2 linked regions of the Macaca fascicularis genome follow. The protein of the gene in region 1 binds, or shares a complex with, the protein of each later gene. Links are inferred from orthologs where the notes say so. Each region holds a gene or a part of one and is shown in the gene's direction. Other genes may lie near its edges.

Region 1 (3,260 bases):
GCCTGGCATATCTTTGCTGTGTCTTCCCCATCCTCCCCTTCCAGAAACCTGAAAGCAAGGGTTAGGATAGCAGTAAAGTTTCCCAATATGAAGCAAGTGTACCAACATAAAAACGAGAAAAGACAGTCCTATAAGGCAAGGATTGGGGGTCCAGATTAGGGCCCACTCACCCCGGTTCCTCAGCAAGCAGCAGCTCAGAACGAGCAGCTTTGATACTTGTTTCCTCTTCCTCAGCTTCAGCCACCTCAAGTCGGCTTCGAGTTTTGGCTTTAGAACGTGGTAGCTATAACATTGTTGGTGGGGAGGAGTGGCAGAAGAACCATAGGATAAGTGGGGTCACAGGAGAGCTACCTAGCCCAGCCTCCATTCAACTCACTCAGACACTCCCTGCCTCCAACACTTCCCAACTCTCCGGCTGGACCTCACCTTTCGGGATTTGTCAATACGACAGAACTTCTGGACCACCTCCACAGGGACGGGGGCGGGGCCTGGGAATGGATCTTGGGCCTAGGGGAAAGGAGAACGCAGTTAGTAGACAGCCTTGGATTGACCCCAACCCTTTCAAAGCACAAGGCGCCCTGCCTCGCCACCCATTAGGTTCCACGTTCACCCCGGACAAGCTCCGCTGGGACTCCGGGTTCTTCCACTCTCGGGGTTTCTTCGGGACCTGAGGCTGCTTAGAGATCCGAGACTTCTTTAATATGTGAGCATTTTTTGGTCTCTGAGGACGGAGCTCCCGATTCTTCTTGTTACAAGGAGGCCCTGGAGAGGCTCCGTCTGTGGTCGGAACAGTCTCTTCCTCCCAGTATCGCCGCGGTTTCTACAAGCAGATCAGGAACTCTGATACTCCGCACCCACGCCCCGCCCCCCCGACCCCGCAGCAAAAAACTTCCTTTCCCACCCAGGGAGGCCGATACCTTTCTCTTGGTCTGAAGTTTGTCTTTCTTGGGCGGGACATCCCTGCCCGGCTTGGGGGCTGTCTCCATCTCGCCCATCCGAACGGCGATCCACGTGCAAAACTTCTCTCAGCTGCCCCACAGTCGGCTTGAAAACTCCCGGAAGCCCTCTATCCTTCATCCAATCAGCAGCGTACCAGGTCTGAAGCTCTCTAGGCGCCATCTTGAGTGAGGGCACGCTTTCCTTAGAGGGGCGGAAGAGCTCTTGGCACCTTATCGGGAGCGGCAGCTTATGCAAGAGTGACTTACAAAAGAAAGGCAGGCCCGGGACCAGGGGCTAAGTAGCGGTGCGGTTTCTTTTTCCGGGTTAGTTTCCCCATCTTGCCTAAAAATATCCGAGTCCAGTCTTTGTAGCAGAACTCCATTCGCTAAACATGTCAGAACTACACTTCCCATCAAGGGTCAGAAAGAAACTTCCGGCGCAGTCTTTTCCCGGCATTCCTCGTTTACTTCCGGGTTTATTACTACTGAAAGCAGAACGTGAATAGGTTGGGATTTCGGTTGAGAGGCTTACGGTCTTGCGTTTCGCCCACCATATCCTGGGGACGGGGTGGAGTCGATACCCAGGACGGGGGGGAGGTGGCGGTGCCCCTCAGGGCTGCCTCTCAAGAGTGCTATCATTTCCGCAGGCGAGATCAGAAAAGGGAGCTCAGGTACCTTCCAGAGAGTGAGACGCAGCGCCCTTGTCTCGCTCCCCGTAGGCTTTCATCCCTGCCATGGCGGAGCTGATCCAGAAGAAGCTGCAGGGAGAAGTGGAGAAATATCAACAGCTACAGAAGGGTAAGGGAGCAGGGTCGGTATGGCCTCGCCCAATGCACTCACAACCCAAAGCCATTACCGAGATAAGGTTTGTTGCCCCATCTGGGCCCTTGCGTGCAGAGACTTTCCCGCTTCAGTACTCTTCCCTATTCACTGACCCGCTGCCCCCATCTTTTTCTGCTTCCTCAGATCCATATCCACCTGACTAGGATTGATGTTTCTAATCTTGCCTTTCCTCTTATCCCCAGACTTGAGTAAATCCATGTCGGGGAGGCAGAAACTTGAAGCACAACTAACAGAAAATAATATCGTGAAAGAGGTGAGGGACTGGGATTTGTGGGGCGAGGAGGGACCTGTACTAGCCATGGTTCTGATCACGTATGTCCCATCCCTCCATCAGGAACTGGCCCTGCTGGATGGGTCCAACGTGGTCTTTAAACTTCTGGGTCCGGTGCTAGTCAAACAGGAGCTGGGGGAGGCTCGGGCCACAGTAGGGAAGAGGCTGGACTATATCACAGCTGAAATGTGAGTCTTTATTCCACCACTGTGTGCTGCACCCTGTGATGCAGTGAATCATTGGAGTAGAGGTGTTGAACCATTGCAGAACAGCTCTCCATAGTGGCCCCTAGTCCTCCAGTTCCTCCAACCCCTTCCTTCCCTTTTAACCCCCCTTCTCCCTTCCCTAATTTCAAGTTTTCCACCTATCTCTTTCTTGCGTTTAGCACCCTCCTTAGTAAGTCCTACTAATTTCTCCCTTTCTACTTGTCTCCCTTGTCTCTCTTTAGTAAGCGATATGAATCCCAGCTCCGGGATCTTGAGCGGCAGTCAGAGCAACAGAGGGAGACCCTTGCTCAGCTGCAGCAGGAGTTCCAGCGGGCCCAGGCGGCAAAGGCAGGGGCTCCTGGCAAGGCCTGACCCCTTGGTGGGGGGAGGGGAGGGGAGGGAATGAGGCAGCTCTAGCATCTATACTGTAGCTAATAAAATGTAAAAACACCTGGCTCCGTTTCCTGACCAGGCGCTTCTGTCATATCCCCACAGTCCCTTCCACCTTCACACACACCACCTGTATTACCCCCTCAGGTTCAAACTCTTGCACTTGGAACTTCTTTGTGGCACAATGTTCTTTCTTTCTTGAAAGTGAAATCCTAAATGTCCTCAAACCTACTTCTTGCCTGTATATACAACCCTTAACTTTCCCTCATCTTGGTTGGCATGATTATTTTGGAAGGGCATTTACAACATAGCGTATTACTAGGAATGTCAGTTCAATTGAAAAAGAATTCACGGTTCTCTAACCTGAGGCCCCAGGATGAAATGTGGTTACCCTCTTTGCCAGCAGCCCTGGCATCTCTATTGGTACTTTTCAGCCTCTGTCTTCCTAGAATTTGCTTGAATGTAGCTTAAACTGACTTAAAATCCCAGCACGTAATGCTTTGTAGTGTATAAGTCCTCCCAAGTTTATATGTTGTCCATAAAGTTGTTCTGCCATTTCCTTGTCCTAAAATTGTTTTATACACATTTGCAGCAAGGGACCAGTGGTAGAGA
Region 2 (4,171 bases), on another chromosome or scaffold:
TACCACCAAATGGTTAGACCACAAAACCAAACTCCCAATCATTGCTGCTATCAATGCATCAGTAATGTATAAGTTATACCTGAATAGTTTATCAGGAATATACAAATAAGAAACAAAAATAAAATTCTAAAAATCAATTAAGAAGGAAAAATATATAACCACTTCGGATTTCTCTAAGAGCAAATAAAAAACATGCCTGGACTTAAACAACCCATGATGTATACATTTCTGTCGCGAGACAGTTTGATTCATCACATAAATCCACTTGGGCATCTCTGCGGAACCTTAAGATTTCCAATAATATAGTATAATTCTCAAAAACCTAAAATCATGTCTCTAATGTGAACATAAAACAAATACATGTCAAAGTTTTATTCAACTCATTAGTTAGTGAGGGAACCGATAAGACTTTAAAACCAATACAGAATATTAGAGAAGCTAGGCATATATTAATAAAGAAATGTTAGGACACAATTGCAGGGTTAGAGACAAAGCTGACGAATGTGTTACAGAACAATACATCATAACCTGTGTTGGTATCTGGTACACCAAAAAAATTATTTGCATCTCTACCAAACCAAAATCTCTACCAAAGTTAACCTTTGCCCCTAGAGAATTGTAAAACAGCCCAGTCAAGTCAATATAATAAAGTCAAGTTCAGAGCAGCACTGAAAGAACATCCAGTAAATAAATCTCTTTTGCCTATTTCCAAGTTTTAGTCATTTTTTTCCACGGAAGTGAGATATTGCAAATATTGCAGGGGACATAGACATACTAAAAAACTACGAATTCATCTGAAATTCATGCTGTATTTTATCCGGCAACCCTAACCACGAGTTAACCAAAACTTTACCAAGTCTGTATAGTTCTATTGCCAACACAGTATCTCCTATGTTCCTCAACTTCATCTTTCCCTAGATAATACATATTATATTAAGAGCTATTTCTATTGCACGGCTATTCTTTACATTTACCACTGGAGGGCGCACATAACTCGTAGTATACTAGATAAGACGTCATGAAGAAACCACCTGAGCGTTTCTGCATCTCAACCACTAGAGGCCAGTACACGAACCTCAGATTTTGCAACCAGACTGTTTACTCACGCCCTAAGCAGCCACGCGCAGGCGCGAAACTCCTCACCAGGCCAGACACGGCCTGCGCATGCGTTCAAGTGAGCGCGCAGACGCTGTTGGTAAAACTCGCGGGAAAAGAAAGGGTGCGCGAGGCTGGAAGCGCGCATGCGCGGTGACTAATGCTCGAGGTTCCTTCAGGGCCGAGCATACTGCGTTTCTTGCGGTGGGTGGAAATGCCCAACCGAGGGACGCGCCCAGAGGACAGCCCTGTGCTGATCCCCACCGACAATTCGACCCCACACAAGGAGGATCTTAGCAGCAAGGTGAGTGTCAGACGCAATGAAAGGCTCCTGGACTTGGGACTGGGCGCCACAGGACCCTAAAGTTGGTCCGCAGGGGGCAGCGTGGGGCCTGCCCGGGACTCGGCTTTGCCCTGCTACTTTTCTCTTTTTATTCTTAGCATTTGACAGCTACAGTTAGTCCTTTTATTTTCTGAAAACAGTTGCGAAAAGGAAGATATTGAAATTTGCCCCGAGACACGACCCAGGTGGCAGCGGGGCGGAGTTCTGGTTGGGTGTTTTTAAACTTTGGGAAATACCGCCCACCCCAAATCTGTTCCATCGCAGATATTCTGCATCCGGTTAACCATGCCAGCAACCTGGGATCCATCCTTGACGCCCATCATGGAAGCCTATCAGTTCTACCTTTGAAACTCATTTCAAATATGTCCCTTTATCACCGTGAACACTTACCACCCCAAATAAGCCACCGTCATCTGCCATCGGGACCCCCGCCCCCCTCCCCCCCCGCAAGGGCTTCCTAACTGGTCTCTCCTCATCCACCTGTTAGCTGCTGCTTCTCCGTTAACCAAAGCAATGGTCCTAAAACACGCATTGGGTTGTCACTGTTATACCAAAAAGGGGGAGGGAGGATGCCAATATAATATAAGCCTTAACTGCCATAAACAAACAAAACCTTTAAAGATAAATGGGGATGGGGAGGGTTATAGCCCTTCAGGTATTACATGTCCTAGATTCTACTTTGGTTCTGTCCCAAACTTGCAATGACATCTGGGCAAGTCTCTTTAATCTTTTTGTATCAGTTACCTTCTTTGAAGTAAAGTGAAATGTACACCTGTCATTCCTAAAATGGGAAAGCCCTGTACAAACGTTAAGTCTCAAAGAATGTTTACAAATTCGGCCTTGGAATTCAACCTCATTACCACAGCTCTGCCAACTGGGGAGACAGAAAGGTGCACACTCATGGGAATTGGGGGTGAATTTTCAAAAGACACACAGTCCATTCTGATTACCACCATTGCAAGCCCCTTACGCATACTGGTGGATACAAATCCCTGAGGTGTGTGAGGTAGCACAAATATTATAAAAGCTGCTTTTAGAGGCTCGTGTGATACTATGTAATTAGTCGTGTTCACAAAATAAATAGTTAAAGAGTTAAAAAGAAACTTAGTTTTCACTTAGTTGAGCCCTCCCCTACAAATAAATAAAGCCCAGGTCAGCACTGTGGCCCAGGCCGGTAGTCCCAGATACTCGGAGGCTAAGATGTGAGAATCACCTGAGCCTGGGAAAATCGAGGCTGCAGTGAGCCGTCACCTCGCCATTGCACTCCAGCCTGGGTAACAGATCAAGACCCTGTTTGAAAAAAAAAGAAAACCAGTTCAACAGTGCCAGCTCCATGCTAGCCATTGAGCTAAAAAGGGAAAAATACAAAGATGGAACATGATAGGTCTTACTGTCCCCAAATAAGGCATTGCTTGATTTGAATGTGTTTGACTGCACTGATTAGTACATAAAATCATGAAAATATTGAAAAAAGTAACCCACCCCTTATTCAATTTGCTGTTTTTTTCCCCCCATCTAAATCACAGCTTAATTGAAAGACTGGAATTCCTTTTGGTGTATATCATATATGTATGTGTGTGTGTATATATATATATTTTTACATATATATTTTTTTCTTTTTTGAGATAGAGTTTCGCTCTTCTTGCCCAGGCTAGAGTGCAATGGCGCAATCTTGGCTCACCGCAGCCTCTGCCTCCCAGGTTCAAGCAATTCCCCTGCCTCAACCTCCTGAGTAGCTGGGATTACAGGCATGCGACACTATGCTTGGCTAATTTTGTATTTTTAGTGGAGATGGGGTTTCTCCATGTTGGTCAGGCTGGTCTCGAACTCCCAACCTCAGGTGATCCACCTGCCTTGGCCTCCCGAAGTGCTGGGATTACAGGCATGAGCCACCGTGCTGGGTCTGGTGTATATCATATATTTTTAACAAAAGGTATAAACCTTGTTGAGTAACTGTAGTCTTTGGTATGATTGCTGGTTACGAACACCAAATCCCCTGTCTGATCTTAATGGGTTACCTAACATTTTGCAAGTCTAATCACTGTTTTTTCTCCTCCAACTTTTCCCCAACTGGACCCCCACACAGACTGCTGTTGAAGATAATCTGTATATTCATGAACTGCCCATTTGGAAAACCAGTACATCATAGCCCCTTATCCCATCTCTAATTTTAAAACAACCCCTTAAGGGATTCTCATTGAACATACTTTGAAAACATCTAGCTTAAGGAGTTTTTCTTTATTTCAATAGATTAAAGAACAAAAAATTGTGGTGGATGAACTTTCTAACCTTAAGAAGAATAGGGTGAGTTATTATAGGAATTCTGAATAACAAATATGTGGGAGGTTTATTTATGTTAACTATATATTAAAGTTATAAGAATTATATATGAGATTTAATCATACTTTAATAAAATGTATAGTATTTCAGCATCTTTTTAAATTGCAAGTTTCTATTTTTTAAATGGATAGATCTCATAGTTGAAGATGTCTTTTTTCTATCATATGCTATTCACATTGCATTTGCAACAAATGATACTAGTTGTATTTTGGTATCTTGGAGCTGTAATCACTGATGATGTTTATTTTATACCCTGAATTTGGTGTTTTCTTTTGATACAAACAAACTTTATATTGAGATGAGAAGAAACTTTTCTTTCAAATGAATGTGGATAATTATTGAACAAAAAAAAATACATTGCTTCCCCTCCCTCCAAAAAATTTTTACATAGAT

The links. Proteins that work in one complex are often made in the same cells at the same time.
Region 2: PFDN6 (region 1) and ASDURF share a complex: the UniProt entries of both Homo sapiens proteins name them as parts of the PAQosome complex. The link is inferred for Macaca fascicularis from reciprocal best matches to the Homo sapiens genes PFDN6 and ASDURF.

The regions. Positions count from the first base shown.
Region 1 is NC_088378.1:138,412,931-138,416,190, reverse strand, and holds PFDN6 (prefoldin subunit 6), read left to right. Parts: upstream 1-1,412; 5' UTR 1,413-1,444; exon of another isoform or gene 1,445-1,585; 5' UTR 1,586-1,672; coding exon 1,673-1,736; intron 1,737-1,963; coding exon 1,964-2,034; intron 2,035-2,115; coding exon 2,116-2,240; intron 2,241-2,500; coding exon 2,501-2,630; 3' UTR 2,631-2,713; downstream 2,714-3,260. Other genes in the region: WDR46 (WD repeat-containing protein 46), read right to left, coding at 1-48, 171-283, 427-507, 611-820, 918-995. UniProt on the Homo sapiens protein: Binds specifically to cytosolic chaperonin (c-CPN) and transfers target proteins to it. Binds to nascent polypeptide chain and promotes folding in an environment in which there are many competing pathways for nonnative proteins.
Region 2 is NC_088386.1:85,308,233-85,312,403, forward strand, and holds the start of ASDURF (ASDURF protein), read left to right. Parts: upstream 1-1,250; 5' UTR 1,251-1,255; coding exon 1,256-1,399; intron 1,400-3,688; coding exon 3,689-3,742; intron 3,743-4,171.